Solanum lycopersicum: one gene and its partner. The protein of the gene in region 1 interacts with the protein of each later gene in a pairwise test. Links are inferred from orthologs where the notes say so. Each region holds a gene or a part of one and is shown in the gene's direction. Other genes may lie near its edges.

Region 1 (4,360 bases):
ATATAATGATGTGATCATAAATTTTATTTACATGTAAAATAAATGGTTAGTAGTTATAAAGGTGGGGTTGTTTTAACAAAATATAAAGTCGTGGATCAATTTTGTATGGCCAAATACATAAACAAATTCCTAAACTTGTTGGATTTTTTTCCTCAGGTACCTCAACTACGTCATTTTTCAATTGAATCATTGAACCACCCATAATTTGTTTCTTTAAAACACTGTTGGTTGATTTTGATCAACTTTTCTATTGTAAATGTCTTCAATTGTATTCGAATTGTAACAATTTTGATTGAAAGAATAAAGACAAACTGTGTTAGTCTCATTTGTTTTCTAATGTGTTCAAATGACTTAAAGTAAAACACAATTATTTTCAAACATTTTCACTATCAATTGGACTAATGATTTGTGGAACAACATATGTATCCTCTATCAATACCCCTCACAAATCTGATTCCACATCAGACAACGGTATTTGTTTAGACGTAATAAATTATGGGGGTTCAATAATTCAATAGGAAAATGACGTAGTTGAGGTACATGAAGGAAAAAATCCAATAAGTTTAGGGATCTACTTATGTATTTGGCCATTTTGTATTATAACATCTCAAATCATGATATGGCATCACCATGTGATTCGATATCATGGTTTTTGGAGGATATGATATCACATCTCATGATAAGGAATCATATAATGAAATCAACATAAAATGACATGTCCAAATACTGATTACATTTCACGATACCATGTCGTTGATATGATATCGCATGGCCAAACGCATATTAAGTATAATCAATTTTTTTTATAATGTCAAAATACTTTGGATGTAATCAAATTTTTTTTACATAAAATCTTATTTTGTGTGGAATATAGCATCCGATATACTTCATCAATTAGATCACTTTTACCTTTTTCAAAATTAAGGTTTGATCACTTTTACCTTTTTCAAAATTAAGGTAAGTTAAAAGCATTACACACTAGGGTTGTAATTAGTATGGAGACGACTAAGAGGAAATTGGTAAGTAAAAGTGTTCCTATTGAGCCCTTTTCGTTTAAATTTACGATTGTCCGTTTTCTTATGTAATTAAGTTAATCAAATGAAATTGTTTCCTTTAGTTATATTCTACAATCTTAACTAATCTTTTTTTTTTTTTGGAGATTTTATATTGACACAAATGTGTAAATGGCAAAATTTTAATTTATTTACTTGATAAATATTTAAGAATATACATAACAAAAACATTTTATCGTGATTATATGCTCAGTTAAAATTGGACTAGTTCAAAAACATGACTGTCTCAATAAATTTATCTTTTTTGTAGTACGCATAAATTAAATAATAATAACATACTCAATATATTCGATCTTTATGAAGTAAAAATGTACATACTCAGTGTAACGTTATATTTGGGTTGAATCCAAACGAAATGGCCCCAAAATGAGGCACACTATAGTATGTTTTTTGCAAAATTGTATAGTATTGCATGAAATGTGAATGATTATTTTGCGTTTGTGTGGCTCTTCTCTTAGCTATCTTTTCATAATGGGTCCATAAATCCATGTAATTATTCATCTCTCAGCTGCTCTCTGCAAAACCAACAAGCACATTTTTTGGCTTTTAACACTTCTCTCACTCACACACACATTCTTTACCCCTTTTCTTTGTGATTTATTCATGCCCTTTGGATAATGACCCCCCAAAAAAACAAAAAAAAGAAACCCTCTTTTTAATAAAATAATGTATTTGTGAGGAAGATGGTGATTCTGAATTTTCTGAGTTTCTTGGGTGTTGGGTTCTGAATAAAAATCTTGCTTTTCTTCCTCATGCAAGCAAAACATCTTACTTTTTGCATTGCTTTTTTTTTTTTTTTTGTAGTTTTTTGGGGGTGGGTTTTGTGTTGTGGGGTTGATATATTGTACTAGTCCTACCATTATTCTTTTCTTTTTTTTACCCTTCTTATTTTTATTATTGTTAAAGGGGAGAAAAAGGGGTCTTTTGATTAAACATTGTTTGGGGTGAAAGGGAAAAAAACCCAATGATTTGTTTTAAATTTTTCTCTATATTTGGATTTGGCAACAACCTTGGAATTCTATTTTAAGAGGAATTTTGAAGAAGCTGCAGTTTGTGGAAGTTTGGCACCAAGCTTGGTTTCCTTCTTTCTTTCACTACTATTATTATTATTATTATTTTGGATGTGTTTTATAAGCTCAATTATGATTTGGTGAAACAATTTTATTTTTTTAACCCTTTCATGTTCTTTGCTTTACTATTATTAAGTACATATAAGCTAACTATCTAACTACTTGACATGTCCCATATTTATGACTAACACTTTCACTTCATTTGTGACTAAAGGAGAAGTAACCTTGATAATTGTTGTTTTGACATGATGTTTGTTTCATTTATCCTATTTTAACGTATATTGTTTAGACTCTTCAAAGATATCAAAAGACATGTGTTTGTAGTATATTTTTTTAGAGCGTGGCATGGAAAGTGAAGAGTCTATGCAATTTAGTTTGAATTTGGCAAATTAACCATCTCCATTATAAGGAGATTTATGGAAGTTAATGGATGTATGTTCTGAGTTAAGAGTTATGAAATATGTATGTTTGATTCTCTCTATATTTGTTTTTTGTACATCAAACAGCAGATTGCCTGTTTTCCATTTTTTTCTACTGTTATTCAAGATCAGGTTGTGGGACTGAAATAGTAATATTTAGGCACATGAACTTTTTGATATGATTCTGCCTAATAATTCTGTTAACATAGACAGATCAATGTAAAGAGACCAAAAAAAAAAAGTTGGATGGTAATGACTATACAACAAGAAAAAAGAGAAAATGTCTTGTCCCATCCTTAGTGTTTAAAGCAATTTTTTGAGTCAACTAGTTGGATGTAAATGATCAAATTTAGTAGAGGTGTTTTCCTCTACCATCCATCTGTTCTAGAAAATCCTTCGAGATGTTATCTAAGTTGTATTAATAGAACATTTTTCTTGTTATAGGCAATTCTTTTCAGCCAAAAGTATACAAGTGTGAACTATCAAGGTTTCATTGAGCTGCTGTTGTTAGCTTGATCACTTGTCTTTGTTGTTTCATAGAAAATCCTCAAGTGATGTGGAACTCAAATTTCAACTAGAAATGGCAGAGCCTCTTCGGATTATAGATGAAAATTTTCTTCATACGACTATTGTTCCCATTAGTTTTCCCGAAACAGTTTGTATGAACAATCAAAACCAGATCATGGATGGACATGGAATTCCTTATCCTTTTATGCTGCAAGGTGAAGCCGTAAACACCTCTCATGGTTTTCTAAATGTACCTAATTTTCCTCGACCTGTTGACACTGAAGCAATTCATAATGTGTTGCCGGTTGGGAGAAACAGAATAAAAGAGTATTCAGTGAGTACTTCTTATCCAATCAGTAATGCTTACGCAGATGATCAATATATGGAAGGTATACCAATTTCTGCTGTGTCTCTTGCTAATCTTTTGGCTGCAAGGAACGCTATGCACGAGAATCCTGAAAATTTAGCGGTACTAGCTCCGTTATCACATCCTACAGAAGGCCAGAAAATGGATGGTCTAGACTATCCTAATGTGTTGAATCATTCATTTGGATCCTACAGAAACTATGAGTTTGATGGTGTTTCGGAAATTGGTGGGATGGTTGTAGGACGAGCAGGATCTCAGCCTTTCCAATTAACTGAAAATGTGAATTCAAACACATGGTTCTCATCAGAAACAGCTAGTTTGAGTTCTGATAGTCCCTCTGGATCCTCCCGATTTAGCAACGACCTCTGTCTAAGTCTCACAACATCACAATCTGCTGTTGCATGTGGGACTACTATCCGGGACCAATGCTCGGATATAAGTTGCTCCGGTGTAACCAACCATGCTTTCCCTCAAAGACGCTTTGATTCAGAGTTAACTTCTTGCAACAGCAGAAATCTGTCTTTAAGCTTTGGTTCATACAAACCTGTCTACCTTTCACAATTCTTAACTGGATCAAGATATCTCCGTGTAATGCAAGAAATACTCTCTGAAATTGCTCAGTTATCACTTCAAAATCATAACTTGGTAGGCTATCGAGGAAATGGGACGGAGAATGGTGCAAACACTTCATTTGCTTTGAATTCAGATGCTGGAAGGGGCTATGCAGCCATGAGTTCTGATGATTCACCTGATGGTCTGATGGGTTGTGAAGCTAAGAAAAAGAATCTGGTAGCTTTGTTGCAAGTGGTGAGTTGACAAGCATTTGATGATTAGTTTTCGGTTTTATGACAATCTGTTTTGAAAATTCTTGGCTTGCTCTTGTCTCTATGCCTGCCTATTCATCTTTATGTCATGTTGTGCTTT
Region 2 (4,316 bases), on another chromosome or scaffold:
CTCGTTAGATTTTTTTTTCCTTTTCATTTATTCAAGAATTTTAACCTGAACTTTTTTTTTAAAAAAAAGAAAACTATTAAATTTTCCCTTAAAATAATTAAAATATCCTTAAAATTATTACTTAAAAAATTATAAATACTAAAAAACATATACACAAAAGATTACGACAGAAGATATATGGAATGGAAGAGATTTAGCATCACAATTTGGAAAGAGTATTTTGAAAATTAGAAAAAAAAAATTGGGATAAAAGTTTCTCGAAGATGCAAATAAAAAGTCAAGAAATTAATCTATTCCAAATTGATTAAAATATATTTTATCAAATTTAAAATATTTATAAATGAAAATTTATACATTAAACATGACCAACTTATGATTTTGTCTGATTTTAATGTTTTTTAGGTGATTAGCAATCTAAGTAATTTATTTTGAAAGTGCTTATAAAATTAAGATGGAAATTTGAAAATATCAGTTTTTGAAGTTTGAATGGTGTGTGAAATATTTTTGTAGGATTTAAAACAATACATAGGATAAGTGAAATGAAATTTCATCCAAATTTATGTAAATTGTCAAAAATTGATTAAAGTTTATGAACAAAAAACAATTTGTAATTTCTTTAAAAATTCTTCCTCCAAAATCTAGAGAAAATGTCATTGACGGTTTCTTAACTATTCGAGTAGGGTTTAAATAGTTTCTTAACTATTCATTTATAGGATTTAATCTTTCTAATTGCTCAAAATATTAATATATTTGATCTTTTAACTATTTACTTACCGATCGATTTTGGTCAGACCTACCATAGAGCTTAGTCTCTTAAAGATGTGAATCTCAAGATTTTCTACTGCTATATCCACTCACATCACAATTCACACCTTTGTTGTGCGTCTATTTTTTTCCCCTCTCCCTCTAAAAAAGATAAGTTTTCTTCACGTTTTATTCTTGAAAAGTAGTATTTTTGTTAATTTACTACTAGTATAATATAATGTGTACGCTAATCTAATTTTTAATATAAAATAATGATATAAAGTTTAATTTAGTGGTTGAAAGAAGAAGCAAAGCAAAAAGAATCATATTCAATTAAGGGACAAATAGGTCTCAAGTTATAATATTGGTAAGGAACTCTCACTCTTGTCTGTTTTCCAATAACCCAAAAACCAAGAAACACATAAAAACACAGAAGAAATTACACTGCACCTCGATTTGATCATTCTAATCTAAAAATAAAAATTAAACTGTATATCTCTCTCTCACTAGGAGAGGAGGGATATTGGCAGATAATGACAGTGTTTCAGTGGCAGTGAAGAAAAAAGGGGTATGAGTTTTCATTGGGAAGGTAAAAATTTTGCACCCAAATACAAGCTAACCCTTTAACATGTTCATGTTTTTCATAGTCTTTGCTTCTTGCTACAACACTATAGAGAGAAAAAAAAAAGAAAAGAAAAGTGAACAATACACTGTTTTTTACTAATTATTTTTTAGAAAAAGAAAAAAGGAATATTGTGTGTTTGCTTTTTTTTCTGACTAGTAGTATTGCTAACTATGTATTCCATTAAGGATTTGCTGTGAAAAAGCCTGATATCAGTAAGCATAAAACTCGGGAGATCACTTACACACACACACCCTCGTAAAAAAGAGAAGAGAGATTTACTGTTAAACAGAGGTTTTTTTCCATTTCTTTTTTTTTTCTCAGTGTGTGTGAGAGAGAGAGATGGTTTTCATAGGCAAAAACAAATAGAAAGGAACAAAATTTAGAGTGAAGAAGAAAGTGTGTGAGAGAATAATGGAGGGTGGTTCTAGTGGAAATACTAGTACATCTTGTTTAATGATGATGGGATATGGAGATCATGAGAACAACAACAACAACAATGGAAATGGTAATGGAAATGGAAATGGAAATGTAACAATTTGTGCTCCTCCAATGATGATGATGATGCCTCCTCCTCCTCCTTCTTTAACTAACAATAACAATGCAGAAACAAGCAGCAACAACATCCTTTTTCTTCCTTTCATGGACAACAACAACAATAATCCTCAAGAAGACAACAACTCTTCTTCTTCTTCCATCAAGTCAAAGATTATGGCTCATCCTCACTACCATCGTCTCTTGACTGCTTATCTCAATTGTCAAAAGGTGAAATTCACCCCCCCCCCAATTAACACCAACAAAAAAAAATTCATTTTTTTTTCAACAATTCAAAGATTATATTTTTTAACATGGGTTTTAGTATTTCTTGAAATTTTGATGATTTTTTCTACCTTGAAAGTGACTCTCTGCAACAATTCAATAAAAAACCCTGAAAACAAAATCATGTGTGTGAAAGGGACAGTAGCTGAAAAAACCTAGTTTTTTTTTCTTCTTTTTAACAACTGCAGATAGGAGCTCCGCCAGAAGTGGTGGCAAGGCTAGAGGAAATATGTGCCACGTCAGCAACAATGGGCCGTAGCAGTAGTAGTAGTGGTGGTGGAATCATTGGAGAAGATCCTGCACTAGATCAGTTCATGGAGGCTTATTGTGAGATGCTGACAAAATATGAACAAGAACTCTCAAAACCCTTCAAGGAAGCCATGGTTTTTCTTTCAAGAATTGAGTGTCAGTTCAAAGCTTTAACTCTTGCACCTAATTCTTCTCATGAATCTGGTGAGATATATATATATCAAATTTTTTTTCTTCATTTCTTAAAATGGTGACATTTATTCTTTTCAGATCCTAACTGTTTACTTGAGTTTATTCTTTTATAAATTAATGTCCTCTGCATGTGCATGTTTCCAATGATATCAGTCATTAATTAATTATTATGTACTAATAAAATAAGCTCAATTCCATATGCAGACCATTTATTTTCAATTTTTTATCAATTTACTCTACCTTCTTGTATTTCACAATGATTTTTTAAAATAGTTTTGTTTCTGTCTCAATATTCAATGAAATACATCTGCCAGGGATACTACCTGGAATTTATATTAAAGAAAAAGAATAATTATCTTATTTTGGTTCTTGTTCTACATGTTCATAATATTTGTGTGGTGCTAGTTGTAAGTGTAAACAGCAAGATATATTTGTCCCTTGTTAATCATTTCAAACTGGATGCTTGTGTATGCTGAATAAACTCAACTTGTCTTGTTCTTTATTTGGAATGACCCTGGGAAATATGTCTTTCTTGTTCCAGCTTTTTTCCCCTACTATTCATGTGCAGGTTTTGTTTGTTCTATCATGTGCCAATCACAGATTAATTGATGACTAGCTCAAGATATAATAATGTATTAACCCTAGTTTTCTGTATTGAAGCTGCATATATTATGATGGTGAATATGAATTTCAAAATTATATTACTTTGGTTTTACTTCTGACACTCTATGAAGTAAATTTTTTGATTCTCTTGTGTTGAGGGTCTTTTGTAAGTATACTGAGGTAGAAAGGGAGGGGGTGGCGGAGATAGCTATATACCAACCAGTCTTAGGTGATTTTGCACGTTGGATACACCAGTTTGTTGTTGTAAGGAGCAGATTATTACATTATCTTTCTTTTGATCAAGTCTTTTTCAACATAAGCTTTCATTTGAATTCAATTTATGTGTGGGTGTTATGTTTCTCAAAGTTAGTTGAGTTTATGTTTCATGCTTTGATTGTTTAAAATATAAGACTTTTGAGTTTTGGAAAAGGTTATTCATTCCATGTTTCTCTCGTTAATTGTGTTGATTGGTAACCCCACAAATTAACGTCAAGTAATCTTTATATTACTGGAATCACTCTCTATAACTATTATTGTTGCTAAGTAGTAGTGTTTTTGATGATTTTAAATCTATTAGGTATTTGGAAAGATGTGCTGAATTAGTTGGTTGTCTTGGAAATGGTTCATAACTACGAATGCTTAAATGTTACACCGTATAAGCTAAATAAACACTGAAAAAGGAACTTCCATCTAATGGCAATAGTTTGTATGTATTTGGATTTCAATCTGTATTTGTTTAACTTGGAAAGCTCCAATCCATCTTAGCAAGCACTTAAGTTTCATATATGGTCTGTGAAGAAGTCCTTGATCGGCTGAACGATTAGCTGTATCGCACAAATAGTTACAATCTTTCGACATAATTCCATGAGGTCCCTCTTTTAGACACTTTAAAAGAATAGAAAGATACAAGACAAAATTGAGAAATGCACCTTCCTTTTAGTGAGACCCATAAAATACTCTTGATTAGATTTGGAGCTTTTATTGGATTGTATCATATAACCTACTTGATGTGTTATACTTTTGTTTAAGTCATTGGATTATGTAGTTGGTGTTTTTTCATCAATACATCTTTTTTTTTTAATTACTC

The links.
Region 2: the proteins of homeobox protein ATH1 (region 1) and T6 interact in binary tests that used the Arabidopsis thaliana proteins (3 or more experiments, as listed by UniProt). The link is inferred for Solanum lycopersicum from reciprocal best matches to the Arabidopsis thaliana genes ATH1 and STM.

The regions. Positions count from the first base shown.
Region 1 is NC_090807.1:54,833,852-54,838,211, forward strand, and holds the start of homeobox protein ATH1, read left to right. Parts: upstream 1-1,502; 5' UTR 1,503-2,149; exon of another isoform or gene 2,150-3,006; 5' UTR 3,007-3,142; coding exon 3,143-4,243; intron 4,244-4,360. UniProt on the Arabidopsis thaliana protein: Transcription factor which may be involved in the signal transduction pathway downstream of the COP1 gene. Controls floral competency as a specific activator of FLC expression. Is responsive of the nuclear import of SHOOT MERISTEMLESS (STM).
Region 2 is NC_090801.1:61,370,705-61,375,020, forward strand, and holds the start of T6 (homeobox protein knotted-1-like LET6), read left to right. Parts: upstream 1-1,481; 5' UTR 1,482-1,780; coding exon 1,781-2,131; intron 2,132-2,373; coding exon 2,374-2,638; intron 2,639-4,316. UniProt on the Arabidopsis thaliana protein: Required for shoot apical meristem (SAM) formation during embryogenesis. Negatively regulates ASYMMETRIC LEAVES1 (AS1) and ASYMMETRIC LEAVES2 (AS2 or LBD6). Probably binds to the DNA sequence 5'-TGAC-3'. Binds to RNA.